2 linked regions of the Alligator mississippiensis genome follow. The protein of the gene in region 1 interacts with the protein of each later gene in a pairwise test. Links are inferred from orthologs where the notes say so. Each region holds a gene or a part of one and is shown in the gene's direction. Other genes may lie near its edges.

Region 1 (8,829 bases):
CCAGGTGAAGGACCTTGTACATCTCCTTGTTAAACCTCATCTGATTTCATTCTGCCCATGAATCCAGTCTGTCAAGGTCATCCTGAATCTTTGCCCTATCCTCTGTTGTGCCTGCATTTCCCTGCAGCTTAGTATCATCCTTGAACTTAATCATGGAGCTTTCCACCCCCTCATCCAAGTCATTAATAAAAATATTAAAGAGCACAGATCCAAGCAGTGATCCCTTGGGGACACCACTGAGATGGGCCTCTCCATCCCATCAATTACAACTCTCTGGGAGTGGCCTCTAAACCAGTTGTCCACCCACCTCACTGTAGACTGGTCCAGCCCAGTACCCTCCAGTTTGACTGTGGGAATCTCGTGGGAAATAGAATCAAAGGCTTTGCTGAAATCTAAGTAAATGACATCAACCATATGCCCCTCATCCACATGGCTAGATACCTAGTCATAGAAGGACATTAGGTTAGTCAGACATGATCTACCCTCAACAAAGCTGTACTGGTTGCTTTGTAACACCCCTTCAGTTACCAGGCTGTGATTGGCCTCCTTAACAAATTTTTCAAAGCTTGTTCCCAGGACCGAAGTCAGGCTGACCAGTCTGTAGTTTGCTGGGTCATCCCTTTTCCCTGTCTTAAAGATGGGCACCACATTGACCCTCTTCCAGTCATCCAGGACAACTCCTGAGTTCCATGATTCTTGAAACTGCTTGGCCAGGGTGCTGCCAGCCAGTTCTTTCAAGACTCTCAGGTGCAGGTTGTCTGGCCCAACAGACTGGAAAACATCCAGGTGTTGTAGGAGATCCCTCATCTGCACAGGAGTGATTTCGTATAATCTTTTGTCTTCCCCACGTTTCCTGGGCCTCTGGTCAGGTTAACAGCTCCTGTTTGATTTCAGGAATACTGACATGAAGTATGTATTTAGGAGTTCTGTCTTTTTGCAGGTGTTGATTGTGGGCTGTCCCTGAGGATTCAGTAGGGGGTCCTGATTTTTTGTTCCTTCCTATGTATCTGTGGAAGGACTTATTGTTGTCTTTTATGCCAGCTGCCAGCTTGATTTCCATGCCTGCATTAGCTTTCCGTGTCTCATATCTGCAGGCCCTGGTAATACAAGTGTATTCCTCTCTGGTAGCTGATCTGTTCTTCCATAGCTTATATGATTCTTCTTTCTTTTTCAAAAGCTCCCTAATATCCCTGTTGAGCCAAGAGGGTCTCTTGGCTCCTTTCCTGTTTTTTGTCTGCATGGGGATGGCCTGTTTTTGAGCTGTGAGAATTGACTCCATAAGGAAGCACCAGCAATACAAGAACTATCCTGCTGTAGAACAGATTAGTTCACTCCATTCTAATAGGGGTGCAGGTGTAGATACTGAGACATTTACTGAGCAACTAATTAGCCAACTGTACAGTAAATGTTCCATGTACAGGGGCCCACTGTGGAGCAACCACCAAGTTGTCTGGGATGGTTACCACAGTTAGGTAAAGGTTTTAAATGGTTATGTGGCTGCTGCTGCATAATCCTGCTTTCTTCTTTGTGGGTGTGTCTACCTGTGTTATTAATGCAATCTAGGCTTACTGAACAGTAAAATACTGCTCAGTAAGCCTTCCCTGGGAGCGTGCGCCCTATTTGAAGCAAATCTGTTCCCAATGGAGCAGCCTAGTACAGGACTGCTCCTGCCCTGCCCTGCCTCGCCGCAGCATCCAGGCTCTGACGTGGCTGGGGCCAGGAAATCCCTGCCGTCTGCATTGGCAGCTGCCTCCTTGCCCCATGCACATTGGGAGGGGTCCTGATGTGCTTGGGGCCTGGAGACAGCTGCCACTATAGTTGGCAGAGCTCTCCCAGCCCTCTGAGCATTAGGACACACAGCTGCCAGTAAGACCTGTGCCCAGAGGGGCTTCCCTGCCCAGCAGGGATTTCACCAGGAGCTGTCCTGATTCTGGGGGAGCTGCTAGTGAGCCCCCTGCTGGGTGGGGATTACTTGCCCATCAGGCGGCTTGCCAGTAGTGCTGGGATGAGACCGAGACAGAGAGTGACCCCATCCCCATCCCTCCTGGGCAGAGCCGGGAGCTGAGCAGGACCAGGACCAGGGACAGAGAACTCCCCAGTCTCTTGTGGTCTCCTGCTGATGTTTACAGGTACTAGCTAACTGCATAATAGACTAATTTACTGTGCCATAAATGCCATGCACATGTAAATGGTAATGCTGTACTGACAACTAGATTAATCTGTTATGCAGTAAAGCATCTCATGTAGATGCGCCCTGTGTCTCATTTCTTGTATTTACATTACTGTAGCACTGACTTTATAGGTATAGTTTATTCCAAGTGATATTTATAGCCTAACATGCAAACTGATATGCGAATAGGCTGATGCAGTTTATCAGGACTTCTGGGCAATATAAAGTTACATAACTATGCTGGCAACAGTACACATCTTCAGTGTTTTACTAGAGTTAATCAAGAATTTTTCCCTGTGAACAATGTAAATGAAAATGTCCTTGACTTAAACAGAAAGTTTGTAGGTTTACAGGTAAACAACTTTTTCCTCTAAAGCTTCTATTACATATAAAATAGTTTTCTGTCAAGAGGAAAAATAAAAAGGTTTCAATCAGTTCTTTCACTGGGAATGTTTCTGTAAACACCATAAATATGCCTTTCCCTGTGTATGATTCTGATGACCTTTACAGATTTTTGAGACCTAGACGTGTACAATTTAATTGATGTAAACATACCCATATTTCTGTTTCTGTAACATAGATTGATCTCTTTGAGTATTGTTTTGGAATTGTGATTGCTGAGTTTATGGAAAGTGTAAGTCTGGGAGGTTGGGGGAGGTGGAGTGGAGACCAGAATTTGTAGGTGATAGTGAAACAAAAATGATTCAGGGGATGCTGTCTTACAGTGCTGGAATGGGCACAGAGATATCCCAAACCCTGCTTTTGATGGAAATTGAGCCCTGGGATGGGACACAGAAGCCTAAGAAAGAACACAGAATGCTATACATTTATTTAGTCATAGTCATGCACCTATATGTAAAATTGAACCTTCATGCAAATACACAGACATTTATTGTATTAGGATGGCATCTGGGAGCAACACTGTAGCCATGGCTGTGTTTTAAAATATGCTAAAATAGAGCGAAACTCTGGTAATTTTCTAAAAGTAGGGGTGCAATTGCTGTGAATTTAATTTTAAATGCCATGCCTACAATTTTAAATGTTGCTTCATTTCTCTTTGTAAATGCTTCATAAAATAGACATTGACTGAATAGTTTTCCTGGCAATCTGACCCTCCTTTGTTGACCAGTGAAGTAAAATATCAAAGCATCTTAGCCGGTGTACTATAGGTGTATTTACGACTATAAATCTCACTGAAAGTTCTGGGACGAGCCAGTGTGACCTGTATACTTGTTTTTTAAATGGGAAATAGGGTTATTTTAGCTATTACTCACTACAGGTGAAGGTATGTGCGCTAGTGGCTGCCAACAGAGATGTTCTTGTCAAATAAAATTTTCTCTAGTGCAGATTTTTTTTCCCCCAGATAAAATAAACTCAGTGGTCTAGTTAAAATCTTCCCTGTCAGTAGCTACACTTTTAGCAGAGGGAGGGTAGGCAGTTAAATTTTATACTACAGAGCTAAAACTTTTCTGTGCAGTGCTTGGCACATGAACTTTCCTGAACAGCAACTGCACTTCACCATAGCCTAACCTTACATAGGATGGGATGGATCTATAAGTGCAGGCTGGTGAGTGAATAAGATGCTAGTTGGCCAAAAGACACCAGCCTGTCAACAGTGTTTTATAAGAGGAGTGTCACAGGGTTCAAAAATCCACAGTGGTTCACTAGGTTAGGGAAGGGGGAGGGAGGGGGAGAATCATTATTCCCTCGTACACGCATAGTTCCCCAAAGTAGATCTATTATTGTCATGTTTGGTCTGCACCAACAGCTACGTAGTAGTTCATTTATATACTTGTAAGAAACACATGATATTTTTGTTAAGTGACTTAATAAGCAAGTCATCAGTTTGTTTACTGACTGTCAAGAAAGCAAGACAAGAGTATGGCTTCTGGAAACCTAGCACCAGTGCTCCAAGACATTGGAAAACTAAGCTTGCAAGCCTGGAAGAAAGGACTGATAGGAAAATCCTGCTGAGCACAGGTAGAACTTAGGTGAATTGTTTCTGTTTTGTTTGTTATGTTCATGTAAACCAGGCCCAAAGAAATTAAGTGGGGTGGGGAGATGGAGGAATTGTGCCATACCAAGTGGAATGCATTGCAGAGCCAGATGGTAATCTGAGAACAGCCAGGTCTGGTAAAATGATATACTCGAGCCTGCATAAGCATTACCAAACTCTAAAAAGTGAATATAGGTTTCCCTTGCCAACCACGGTTTTCCCAACCACAGTACTGAGTATCCACGCTTAATATTCTATATACCGTGTTGGCTACCATGGTATACAGCTTTGAGTAACCACAGTTTTCCATGGCCGCACATCAGGCTGCCACCTGCCATTTTTCCCATAAACCTTTTGTCTTGCCAACCATGGTTTTTCCAGGCACAGGAACTTTCAGGAACCTAACCCCAGCAGTTGGTGAGGGAAACCTGTAGTTTCTGTGGTTGAAGCAGTTGTTATGCATTATTATTACTATTATTAGTAATGCATATTATTACTGCTACTGATACTGGTCCTGTTGTTTTATTAGAGTAGCTATACAACTTGCCCTGCAAAAACCGTACTAAAGCTAAGCCCGGGAGTGTGACAGCTTCTCTCCCATCCCCAGGCATCTGCTTCTACCCTTACAACTACCCAGGCTCTATCACCTTCACTCTTCACCTCATCTAGGATGCCCAAGACAACATCCTTTGCGGTGAAAACACGCATCCCTACATGCATTCCAGGGCTGAAGAGCAAGTCCCCGGGGCAGAGCACTGAAAGTGAGAGAAATTGCCTTGAGCAACTAGGAGTCAGAGAAGAGGTTTGCAGGGCAGAGGTGGGCAGGGTTACAGGGGAGCTCAGCCCCTCATAAGAGAGAGCCCTCCTGTAAGATTTGAAAATCACTCACTCCAAGAAGCCACTTCAACAGCTTGGCGGCTTCGGGGGCCGGTTTAGTTGGGCAAGGAGCAGCACGAGCAGCCCTGGGCCGGGCCCCGGCGCCCGTTTAGCGCGCGTCCTCCGCAGAGCGGACACACACAGGAACGCGCGCGGCTGCCCGCGAGCCTTGGTGTCCCGGACGGGGCAGGGCTTGCGCCGTGCGGGGCGGGGGAAGGAGCCGGGAGGAGCCACTCGGGCCGGGCCGGGCCGGGCAAGTGGGGCAGCATGGCCGGGAGCGGGCGGGGGCCGGGGGAAGAGCTGCTGTCCTTCCAGGCCTTCCAGAGCAGGAGCCCGCTGGGGGCCCGCTACGGCGCGCGGGACAGCTGGCAGCGGGACTTCCGCCGGCTCCGAGGTAGCGCCGCGCGGGGAGGCGGCCGGGCGGGCGGGCCTCAGCTCCCCTCTGCAGCGCGCTCAGGCGGGACGGGCGCCGCGCCACCCTTCAGCCCGGGCACCTGCTCTGCCTCTGCCTGTCCCCCCTGGCAGCAGGGAGGGAAAGGGGAAGAAACTCAGTGTCGCGGGGGGAGCAGGGCAGGAGTCGTGGGCTTTCCCTTCTCAGACCCCTTTTAGGGGGTGGAAGCTGAGAGCCCTTTCCATTCTTGGCAGGAGCCTGTGGGAGGGGGTGTCAGGGAAGTGTTTCAAGAGGCTTTGTGGTCTAGAGGAAAAGGCAATCGGGACTCGTCCTAGAGATGCTCTCTTATTAGACCAACAGGTTTTAAAAAAAAAAAAAATAAAAAAAAAAATTTTTGGATTGCAAGCTTTCGGGCACAAACATCGGGCGTCGGAGACAACCTTGTAAAAGTTCTCCTGGGCAGAAAGGAAAGTTCATATTTGCTAGGATTTCACAGAGGAGTGGATACATTTTTATTTTATTTCTTTTAAAGAAATGATTCGTCGTCCAAGCCAAATCAAGTCCAAATCCGTGAGTCAGTCCAGAACCATAAGTGACCCAACAACCGGAAAACATACTCCACCCCCACTCGGGGCTTCAGATATTTCCAAAGTCTTTTGGTGGGGATCCGATATGTAGGCCCAAGCCCGGAGGCTTGAGGTTCGGGTGCCCCCAAGTTTCGCCTGCCCTCAGCCATACGGCCGCAGAAGCAAGCTAGGGAGGAGACTCCCATTTCCATAAAGTAGGCTTTAAGCCCCAACACTAAACCACACCAGAAGAACAGTTATCCCCGGGAACACTTAAGGAGAGCTGCCTTCTTGGACCCAGCTACATGGTGTTTCCCCTGTAGATGGAAAACTCCTCTGGGCAGGCAGTTCATAGCTGGCATGGAGCCTCTCGCCTCCTGTGAATGTCTGTGATGCTGCAAATTACCTTGAAACAAAGGCAGGACTTGGATCTCAGGGTTCAGGTGGTCACAGTTGCTTCCTGTGAAAATGTCAAGATTTCATTAAAAAAACTGGCTAAAATTCGATATCCTCCATGTATCAGGTATCCAAGTTGTAGCTGTATTGGTCTAGAGGAAAAGGCAGTCAGGACTCATAGTAGAAGTAATCTCTTTTATTACACCAACAAGATTTTTGCAAAAAAAAAAAAGAAAAAGCCTTTAATTGCAAGTTTTTGGGCACAAACACCCTTCATCAGGCATTAGAGAAAAGACTGTAAAAGTTCTCCTGGGTAGAAATGACAGTTCATACTTCGTAGGATTTCACAGAGGAGTCCATAGATGGAAAACTCCTCTGGGCAGTCAGTTCATACCCATATGAAGCCTCTCACGTCCTGTGAGGATCTGTGATGATGCAAATTACCTTGAAATGAAAGCAGGAGCAGGATCTCGGGTTTCAGGTGGTCACAGTTGCTTCCTGCTTGGGAAAATATGAAGATTTCATTTTAAAAAATGTGGCAAGGGGCTTTTTGGTGCTGGTGGGGTTACATGTGGTTTTTTTGCTGTAAAAGGATGCAGGAGGGGAGTGGGGGGAACCACACACAATGAGCAAACAGCAAGAATTTCCCCTTCATTAGGCAGGAAAATAGAAGCATAGAAAGGGCTGGAAGGGACCTTGGGAAAGAATCAAGTCCAACCCCCTGCTCCAAGCAGGACCATCCCCATCTACATCATTCCATTGTCTAGCAGGGTCTTAAAAACCTTTCAGGAGGGAGATTCCACAACCTCTCTGGGTAGCCTGTTCCAGTGTTGTACGACCCTCAGAGTTTTCCCCAAGATCTAACCTAAACTCCCCTTGTTGTAACTTGAGCCTGTGAAATAGAAGGGGACACAATAGTTGGGTAGACAGGTTTTTTTCCAGTTTCATAATCAAATCTCGCTTTCCTATACCTCTGGCCCAGTGTGATGAGCAGTAAGAATAAAGGGCATAAGAAAGTTATCTTCTTTTGCTAATAAGGCTATGCTTGCCCACGGTATTATGGCACCAGCATTTTTTCCGAAAAGTACAATGGCACTGGGATTATCAGAATGTAATATCAGCTCACATCCAATCCCATATGTGTTATCAAGTCAGTGTACTCTTTCCACCAGCAGAGTTTTCACCTTCTCACTCCTTTTCATCATGTCTCTGAAAATAAGTTGTACGTTGCTGATCAAGATCTGCCTTCAGTTCACAAGGCTGTTTTTAATAAAGGAGAAATTGTTTTTGTGATTCTGGTCCAGCACTCTGAAAGCTTTTGCCAGGTAGGATTTACAAAGGAAATGACTACTATTTATTCTATTTTGTTGTATTTATTAGTATATTATTATTGTTGTTGCTACTGTTAGTGATGCTGAATGATAAAATTGGCCTCCAAGAATAAAATGAAGGAGAGTGAAAAAGCAAAAGGGGTAATTTTGGAAAAGAGAAGGTTTCTAAAACTATTTTGAAGATTGAATCAGTTGGAATATTGGTAAAAGCTTGGTATCATCAGGTCTTTGTGTGACAAATACACTTGTACCAAGGTTTTGAAAAACTGCACTGGATCTTAGAACAGGGTCCTAAATCTCTTATTCTGATGTTTGAAAAAATAGCCTGCTTTTATCAAAAAACCTGTTGGAAGACAATTTACATCCTTAGGGCTGCCTGATTTCCGAATGCCACCAGGTGAATGGGACAAGCTCACTGACTGCAGAGTAGGTTGGACCTAGTATGCCCAAAAGCACTATGGAACAAGTACTTTACAATCTGTAGTAGCTGTACTTTTCATAGATTCATAGATTGTAAGAGGCTGGAAGAGACCTTGCAAGATCATTGGGTCCAGCCCTGGGTCCTTATCCACACTCAGCCTGTTCCTGTGCTCCTGTTTTGGATTCTTTGGCTCCTGACTTCTGGTACTAGCTTGACCATGGATATGGATTTTACTTTCTGGCTAGGATTTTGGCTTGGACTCTGGCTTTGACTCTCTTGAGCAGCCTTGGTCCCTCGTTTGGATTAGCCTCTGATGCAAGTACAGTACTTGTCAACCCCCTTGCTCCTCTAGACTGCCTGTGACTCACTTCTTACAAAACCAAAAACTCAGTGGTTCCCTTAAACTTCAATATTTGACAGTCAAGCCACATGTTTAGGCTGCTGATATTTTAATAAGCACTGTATACATGAACTTCTATACACGTGCGGAGTTCATTGCAGAAGTGGAGCATAAATCAGGAATTAGGAACCAAATTTTGTAGTCCTAATCAGGAATTAGGAACCAAACTTTCCACCTATATTTAAGAAAATCTTGGCCTAGATAGGCAGTTTTCTAAAACTCCAGCAGTGAGGTTTAAGTTGAGAAGAACAGGTATCTTTTTTCCCTAAGTATTAAATACAA
Region 2 (8,439 bases), on another chromosome or scaffold:
CTCAGGCTCTTTTTACCCGAAAGGCTGCAGGAGGCAAAGTGAATCTGAGCCAGCTCTGGCTGGTCTCAAATTGTTAGGCCCCATCCCCTTCCCCTACCCCTCTGGACAGGGCTTAGGGTTTGCATCCTTTTTGCAAGCAGCTTGTTGTAGGCTGGAACTCTGCCAGCCTGCAGAAAGCTGTTTCCAAAAGGGGAAACCCATGTTTTCTCACTTAAAAGTGGAAAATCTGTGTTTTTCTCTTTTAAAGAGGTAAGTCCATGTGTTTCTACAAGAAACAGAAAACCTTGATCCTTGGTTATGACAGACCTTAAAGTTCGCTTCTTCTGCACCTGTGCTCCCCTCGGCCCCGTATACCTTGGAAAACTTAAGGTGCATTGATATCTTTATCATATGGGCACACTGGAAGGCATTTTTAGAGAAATTGCACCAAGACTTTAACTTCCATCTGTCCATCAAACTGAGTCTGGAATACTGTACCCAGCCAATTAATTTCCTGAACACCACAGTGAAAGTTTGCAATGACCATATCACTACCACAGTGTATTGCACAACCAGCAACCAGTTTACTGTTAGGAAGGGAACAGTTGCAGGCCAAAACTAAGTGTTTTTGACAATCTTACCCTTAAGAATCAGAAGAGTATTTGATCCAAAGACATTTGAATCAAAATTTTAGTTAGAAAAAAGATTCCGAGTTCTAATCTAAGATCAGTCACTAATTTACTGCATGACCTCAGTCCATCTCAACAGTTTGACAATTCAATTGAACAAATGCAGGAAAGCAGCAAAAACCATATGTAACATCAGAGCTGATCTTTCTCATGAATCAATAATTTCAGGTTATAGGTTGTCTTATTAGTTCTGCTGCATCAGTTCTCTTTCTTATTGGCTCTATACCATGGTAGGTATATAACGTATTCTACCCCTCTGAGTTACTTTGGAAAGCATCTCAGACAAAATCTTTCTTTGTTGTCATCTTATGCAATTCTAACATGAATCACTCTGAGTGATATGACACTGTGGTTAAATCAATAAAACAGTGGTATGAATGACTACCCCTGAAAAATGTGTGTGTACCTGTAGGGAAAAAAACAACCCCACACCATATTATTGTAATTGTATTTATGGTTAATAATTTACGTCAATAAAAGCTGGGAGTGTATGCAATTATAGCGTGGCTTCTTATAAACATTAAGATATCCTTTACTGTGGGGATGTGCGCTTCAGAATCCACTGCAGGATGCAAAATCTGCCTCGGTGGGTGCCACAGAATCTGGTGACCTGCATTTGCCAAATTTTGCTCCTCATCCCACCTCTGGTATCTTTATAAAATCCTATGTTTACATCCAGATGCAGCCAGGTGAGCATAAATCAGGGGTGGGCAAAATGCAGCCGGGGGCCAGATGTGACCCACCAGTCCATTCTATCTGGCCCGTGGGGCCCCTAAAAAATTTAGAAAATTAATATTTATCTGCCCTGGGCTGCCTGTCATGTGGCCCTCGATGGCTTGCCAAAACTCAGTAAGCAGCCCTCTACCCAAAATAATTGCCTGCCCCTGGCATAAATGGATCCCTTTTCACAAAACTATTCTACTTGTAAATGCCTATGGCACAGTTGCATGCATATACAATAGGTAGATATGACATTTGTTTCTCCTTCCTTTAAAAAAGTTTCTATATTCCTAAAAAAAAAAAATCTGTTCAAAGCAGCTGGTGACCTGATCCAAACAGTGTGTAAATAAATAAAACTTGTAAATATACAGAGTTTATTTAGTAGCATGTGAAACTGTAGACCATGCAAGTAACTGTTCAAAATGACAAATGCAGCGAGAGCAAATATAAAGAAATGTGGTATTCTACCAGCCTTCTAGTCCACTTTTCTGTTAAAAGAATGGCACTGTATGGTTGATTAATGTTAGTCTCTAGAGCATGTACAAACAACGTACAGTAAATATTTGTTGATGCCTCCCTCTCATCAGATACCTGTTACTGATTTGTAAAAACACAACAATTATTAACTGATTTAGAAATATCCTCATGGTAATTTCATTTCACTTACTATGCCTAATGGATAGCCAGATATTTGCATGAAGTGTGTGTGGCTTTTTGCTTAAATTGTTAATCGAGTGATTAAACGGTAAGTGAAAGTAGCACATCCGTAAGACATTAATGCTGTTCCAGTCCTGGGCCTCTCCTGAATCAACTGTCAATCATGGTAAATTGTGTGCCTCTGACATACTTTTCTTCTAAGCTACTTGTTTGCAAATCTAATAGGAGAACTGGAAAACGATGTTGTTCCTCACCAGGAACATGTTTCATTTTTCATGTAAGTTTGTCCTGTCACTAAGGTTTTTTTTTTTCTTTTCTTTCCTACTAACCCGTACATTGCCATCTTGTCATTCTCATACGATTACAAAGTAATCACATATACATATATGTTGATGGGTGCTACAGAAATGTGGTGGTAGATGGAATTTTGCTTATCTGAGATTACATTTGGAAACCTAAATGTTAACCTGAAGAAAAGTCGATGGTATCCTCTTAGTGTTCTTTGCCTTCTTCCTTGGTCATATACGCTGGAAAAATTCATCGAACTGACAGAATTCGTTTCACAATTTCCTAATCTGAGCTTCGTTCCCACAAACGTGTATGCATGTGCTTCAGTTTTGGTACCCAAGTAGTTCTATTGATTTAGGTTAATCCCACGTGCAAAGTTCAGTATCTCTATGGGGATGAAAGATTGGGGCTTTAGTTTGTGGCCCAGAACCTATAGCAAGGGATGCAGCATACAAATATAAATGGGATAAAACAGAATCTTCAATTGTGACTGAAGAGCACTTGCAGGATTGGGAAGCTTGGAGTTGTGCGGAGTGGGAGGGGATGTAGAGCCAGGGCAGTTGGCTTTTAGCTGCCTTTATCTATCTTGAGCCAATCTTGATGCTGGTCCAGTCCCCACTGTAAATCAAAGAAGCCCGATGGCTTTTGTAATGTAAATAAGTTACTAGCAATGCCAAGACCACAGGGCCGCAATTTTACCTTGTCCCTATATATGCGGACTGGAAAAGCAGGTGCTTCTTTATATAGGCGCTGACTCCATGGGTGCTCTGGGGCTCAAGCACCCATCAAAAAAAACTGGCAGGTTCTCAGCACCCACAAGCCCCACACAGCTGTTTTGGTTTTACATGTTAGATCTCTGTGGCTGCTTGTGGATGTTAAAAAACCCAACCAAACTGCACTTTACTGGAAGAAGCAGTGCATTACTTCAACCTGGCTCTGCAGTGTCTGTAAAGATTGGGTGCTTCAGCGGGGCTTTTAGGCAATTTTAGCTAAAGCTTATTCAATAAGCTATTAGATAAAAGCCCCCAAAAAGCCCCAATAAGCACCTGATCTTTACCTCAACCCAGCTCGCCCAATGCCTGTAACGTGCTGTCTCTTCTAGGCGTGCGCAGGGCTCGGTGTGGGAATGCAAAAAAAACCAAACCACCCACGGCAAAAACCAAAGTCAGCGCTTATGCTTATTTACACCTTCCCTCACTACAGTGGTCACTGACCTATGGCCTAGGCCCAGCTTTGGACAACTTAGGTAAAAAGAGGATACTAAGGGGGTTGCACACCCTATATGTAATCTATTTCTATTAGAAAATTCTATTCCAAGACTACTGAAAGTCTGCCAGGTGTGAAAGTCTGCCACTGCTGTCCCAACCACCGTATACCTCAGCATATTATAAAGCCAGTGGTACTACTGTCTGATCCACTAGGAAACAAATGCCTAGCCCCCTCTAAGTTATGAGGAACATGGTTGCTTTCTTATTTGTAACGGGTCAAAAGCTTCACAAAGGCCCCTCCTACCCATTACATATATTGTGAAATCCACTACTTAATCATGGCATAAATTCAAACTAGCCGCACACGCGAAGTAAGATGGGCCACAAGTGCAAAGTACTGACCCCACAAGTAACTGGTTAATCGTGCCGCCAATTTAGACCAGTCATTTGTGGACTGGGCAGTGTCCGCTGGCTCCTTGGACTCGCTTGAGGGCTGGTCCAGTGTGCTCTGCTCTGTGTTGCGCCCTTGGCACTCTTCTTTTGAACCTGTGACCAGCATGCCAATCCCCGTTTCTTTAATTATGATTTGTCCCAAGCCTGTCAGCACCTTTTCCTGTAGCCTGGCTGCCCAAGGGAGGCCAGTAAGAAACTTGGTGGGCCAGGCTCATGAGATCAAAGGTGACAAACTGCGCTGTGCAAAATAACAATTGCAGGGTAAAAATGACGGTCCAGCTATAGAAAGAGCCAACCCACAGTAAAATCAAGGCTTGAAAACACAGAGCAGCTCTTTAGTCCAGGTTTAATTTGAGGCAGGGCCCGAAGAAGCACAGGCCAGGGGGGCTGGGGGTGGCTTCTGCCTGGATCAGAGGGGCAGTAGATCAGGCAGGATCCGGGATCTTGTTTCGGGACTGCGAAGATCTCCTTCCAGCGCCAGACAGCCGCCTGTGGCACAAGCAATCCCGGCCTAACGCCCAGCCCAGCCCGGCAGCGGGGGCGACAGGGGCTGCGGGGCAGGTGCGGAGAGAGCAGCGCGCGCGGCGGCGACAGCGGCCTTCCGTGGCCGGGCGGCGGCGGGCGGGCGGGAGGGAGGGAAGGAAGGAGGGAGAGCAGGAGCTGCCTCAAATGCTTGAAATAATTCCGCTTCCGTTTGGAGCAGGGCAGCCAGCCGCTCGCTACATCTGGGCGCCCGGCCTACCTCCCCTCACGTCGGGCGCTGGACCGGGCTGTTTCGCCCCGCGCCCCGCTCATGGCAACGTCCCCTCAGAAGTCGCCCTCGGCGCCCAAGTCCCCCACGCCCAAGTCTCCTCCTTCTCGCAAGAAAGATGACTCCTTCTTGGGCAAACTCGGAGGCACTTTGGCCAGGAGGAAAAAAGCCAAGGAAGGTAAAAAAACCAAAAAAACAAAACAGGCGGCGGGGCACAGCCCCGCCGGGCTGTGACCCGCAGCCCCCCGGGGCGCGGGGCTGCGGGTTGCCCCGCGTCACGCCACAAAAATGCTGGGGCGCGCGGGCTCCTCGGCGGCTGCCTGCGGGCCCTCCGGCGGGCGTGGCAAGGCGCATCGCCACGACCGGGGCAGGGGCAGGGGCAGGGGCAGGGGCGAGGAGGCTCCACCCCCCACCCCGCGCGGCCTGCAGGCAGGGCGCCCACCGCGGCCCAGGGCGCTCCTCGGAGCAGCACGTGGGCGTGCGGCGGGGCGGGGCGGGGTGGGGCGGGGCCGCCAGGCGTTCTAGAACCGCGGTTCTCTCCGGGACAGTGGGGGAGGGGTGCTTGGCAGAAGAGGGGCAGATGGTGATGAAAGGGTTAAGGGGGGGAGGCAAGGGTTTCTTGGTGTGAGATCTTTTATTGGACCCGCCGTGGAGTTGGGTTAAAGTTAGACAAGTTTTCCGGTGTCAGACGCTCTTCCTCAGGTCAAGGTGCCCTGCAGTGCTGCAAGCTTCCCGTTGCAGTCACCTCTTCCTGATGGATTTGGGCAGGGCTGGGACCCTGACGCAGAGTGAGAGCTTGGTAACTGCATCGTCTTCAATCAGCGGTTCCCAACCTTTTTTTTGCAGTAACCCGCTGCTGGGAGCAGAGCGTGGTGGCGGCAGCCCAAGGGTGGGGACAGGGGAGCTCCTGGCACTAGGTGTGGCTCATCCTCTGTGTGAGGCACCCCCGCCACTGCCCCCACAACCCTTATTTGGGTCGTGACCCGAGGCTGGGAATCACAATCTTAAACCAAACATTTTCCACACAGCAATGAAACCACATGAGAGACTGGGAGTGGTTCAGGGACAACTTGCCAATGCCCATGCTGATTCCTACCATGGAAGGACCCACCTGACAACTAGAGTAGATGGGGAAATTATGGGGCAGACGGCTGTAACAGGTGCCTGGACAGACCTGCAGGTAAGTGATTCTCCTGGGATAGTTAAACCAGGTGAAGTTCATTTCACACTAGCAAGGTAATACTGCTCCATATCAAGCATCTGCTTGGGGACTTTCTTTAGGTCCCTGAGGAAGAATGTCTTGTATTTGAAAGCTTGTCTAACTATATTCCACCTACAGAGTTGGTCCAATAAAAGATACCGCCCAAAGAAATCCTTGCCTCGCATAATTTCTGAACCATCATGGCTACAATATCACTCTTGCACTAGGCTCGATTGTTTTCTTGGACTATAGGACCAGAGCTGGGGGGGTGTAATACTGAATGAAGGGGGCCTCTGTTGAAGTCTTCACAGCAATTTGCTGAAAGACCTGAAGTGCTTCATATAAAGCACCCAAGCAGATCCCTGATATTACTGTGCTAGTGTGAAATGGTTTAACTGTCACAAGAGAATCACTTATCTGCAGGTCTGTCCAGGCACGTTAAAGCCATGTACCCCATCATTTCTGTATTTGCTCGAGTTGTCATATTGGTCCTTCCATGCTAGGAATCAGTATGGGCATTGGCAGGTTAATTCTTGTGGGGAATGTGAGTTAATTCGTGTAGGGCTTATGTTTGGTTTAAGATGAATCAGTTGTCAGGCTCTAACTTGGTGTATGGGACCCAGCCCTGCAGAGTTCCTGCTGGAACATGTGAATACAAAAGGGAGCTTGGAGCACGCGTACCTTGATCTGCAATATGTGCGAATATGACCCGGGTATTTTTTAAAAAGAGATTATGGCATTAATTTAAAAAAACCCAACAAGTTTCAAAGCTCAAGGTATTGTGTCCTCTGCTTATCCTGTCCAGGCAAGTTTTTGCAACACCTAGTACATAGGTGGGTTGATTGGAGAGGTTGATGTAGCATCTAAGCCTTGAGCAGTTAATAAAGGCTGAATATAAAAAAAATCTGATTCAGTTGTTGAATGTAATGTTCTTCCTTCTTGAAAGGTCTGCTCCTCTGTGAATTAACTTTGCCAGTAAGTTGAATACCACTGTCGTTATGCAAAGGGACGCGCAAATTCCAAGTACACAGTAGTCTTTTTTTACCAATATTTTTGCTGATAATTTTCACTAATATTTATCCCCACTTTGATAAAGCAGCCTTGTTCAAAATTATACAAGCATTGTATGCCTGAATCTGTTGCCTAGTTAAAATCAAGCGAGACTGAGAACTGGAGTTTGCCCTCAGTTCAAACATTAAATTTTCGAAACATTGTGAGTGTAAAAGAGATTTCATCAGTGTCCTTGAAGTTAGAAATTGAGCTGTTTACTTCTAAACACTTGTACCAGCAAACTTGAAAGATACGGCATTTACTATTTGTGGGTTATATTGCTTAGAATGGCAAAGATGTGGTCAAGCTGCTTCTGTTGTCATCAAAGTTAAACATCTGGTTTGAAGAAAGTAATTTATTTTTATGTATGTGAGTGGCATCAGTGTGTCTTCTCACTAAGCTGCAGGTGTGGACCCACAACAGGTTTTTGTTGCGTGATGTACATCAGTTTTGTATACCAATGTAATTTATACCCTGCTTTTGTTCAGAAAGTTGACAAACTTCCCTGGAGTAGCAGATGTAACAACTGAACCATACCTAAATGTTATCAACTGGGAACTGGTTCACCATTGTTGCTGCTCAGAAGTCTGCATCTATAGTTCCCTAGCATTCCAGGTAGAATGAGGGAAATGCTTGGACCCATGTTTAGCATTCCCAGGGGCTTGAAGGGCATAATGATGGGCTGCAGTCAAACAGGGAGTAAGGACGCACTAAGCTGTTTATTTAACAAATAGTGCAAGGGAGATTATTGATAAGAAGTGCCAACAAAAGGAAAAATAAAGGAACCGTAGAGTTCTGGCTGCTGAGTGACCGGTTGCAGTGGGGGGGGGAGGGAGGGAAGTAAGGAATTATGTAATATGGGATGCACCTGGTTCACAAGTGTACTAACACATGGTGCACTGATTTTCCAGGTACACTTCTGAGCCATTCCAGGCAGCTTTAAATGTCTGTTTCAGGTTTAAACTACATTTAAACTGTTTTAAATAAGTATTACATGGGTCCATACACAGGTCGGTAGCATAACTAGAGTGTGGCAACCAGGGCAGCTATCCCAGGTGCTGACTTGAGGGGGGTGAAGGGGAGTGGAACAGAAAAAAAACAGTGCCACCACAGCCATATCATTGCATTGGAAGCACAACAGCAGCCAGAAGTTGCTGCTGTCCCCATGTGTTGCAACTGCCCCAGGAGCCTAGCTGTGGTGTTATACCTCCATCAGTGGTGCTCAACCTATGGCCCACAGGCTGGATCCAGTACAAGGAGCTGTCATCTAGCTGTGGGGAGTTCCAGTAGCATCACTTTAGGGAGCAGGGGGAAACAGCAATCCCAAACTCTGCCTTTGAGGGGACAGAAAAATAGCCACTGCCACAGTGACAGGTGACTTCACTGTCACGATTGGCATGGCAGCAGCCAGTGGTGCTCCTTGCCCAGCTGCCCTGCTATGAC

The links.
Region 2: the proteins of MOCOS (region 1) and PARVA interact in binary tests that used the Homo sapiens proteins (3 or more experiments, as listed by UniProt). The two-hybrid records come from large-scale screens. The link is inferred for Alligator mississippiensis from reciprocal best matches to the Homo sapiens genes MOCOS and PARVA.

The regions. Positions count from the first base shown.
Region 1 is NC_081828.1:78,062,787-78,071,615, reverse strand, and holds the start of MOCOS (molybdenum cofactor sulfurase), read left to right. Parts: upstream 1-5,294; 5' UTR 5,295-5,309; coding exon 5,310-5,436; intron 5,437-8,829. UniProt on the Homo sapiens protein: Sulfurates the molybdenum cofactor. Sulfation of molybdenum is essential for xanthine dehydrogenase (XDH) and aldehyde oxidase (ADO) enzymes in which molybdenum cofactor is liganded by 1 oxygen and 1 sulfur atom in active form.
Region 2 is NC_081825.1:201,150,437-201,158,875, forward strand, and holds the start of PARVA (alpha-parvin), read left to right. Parts: upstream 1-4,693; 5' UTR 4,694-4,787; coding exon 4,788-4,923; intron 4,924-8,439. UniProt on the Homo sapiens protein: Plays a role in sarcomere organization and in smooth muscle cell contraction. Required for normal development of the embryonic cardiovascular system, and for normal septation of the heart outflow tract.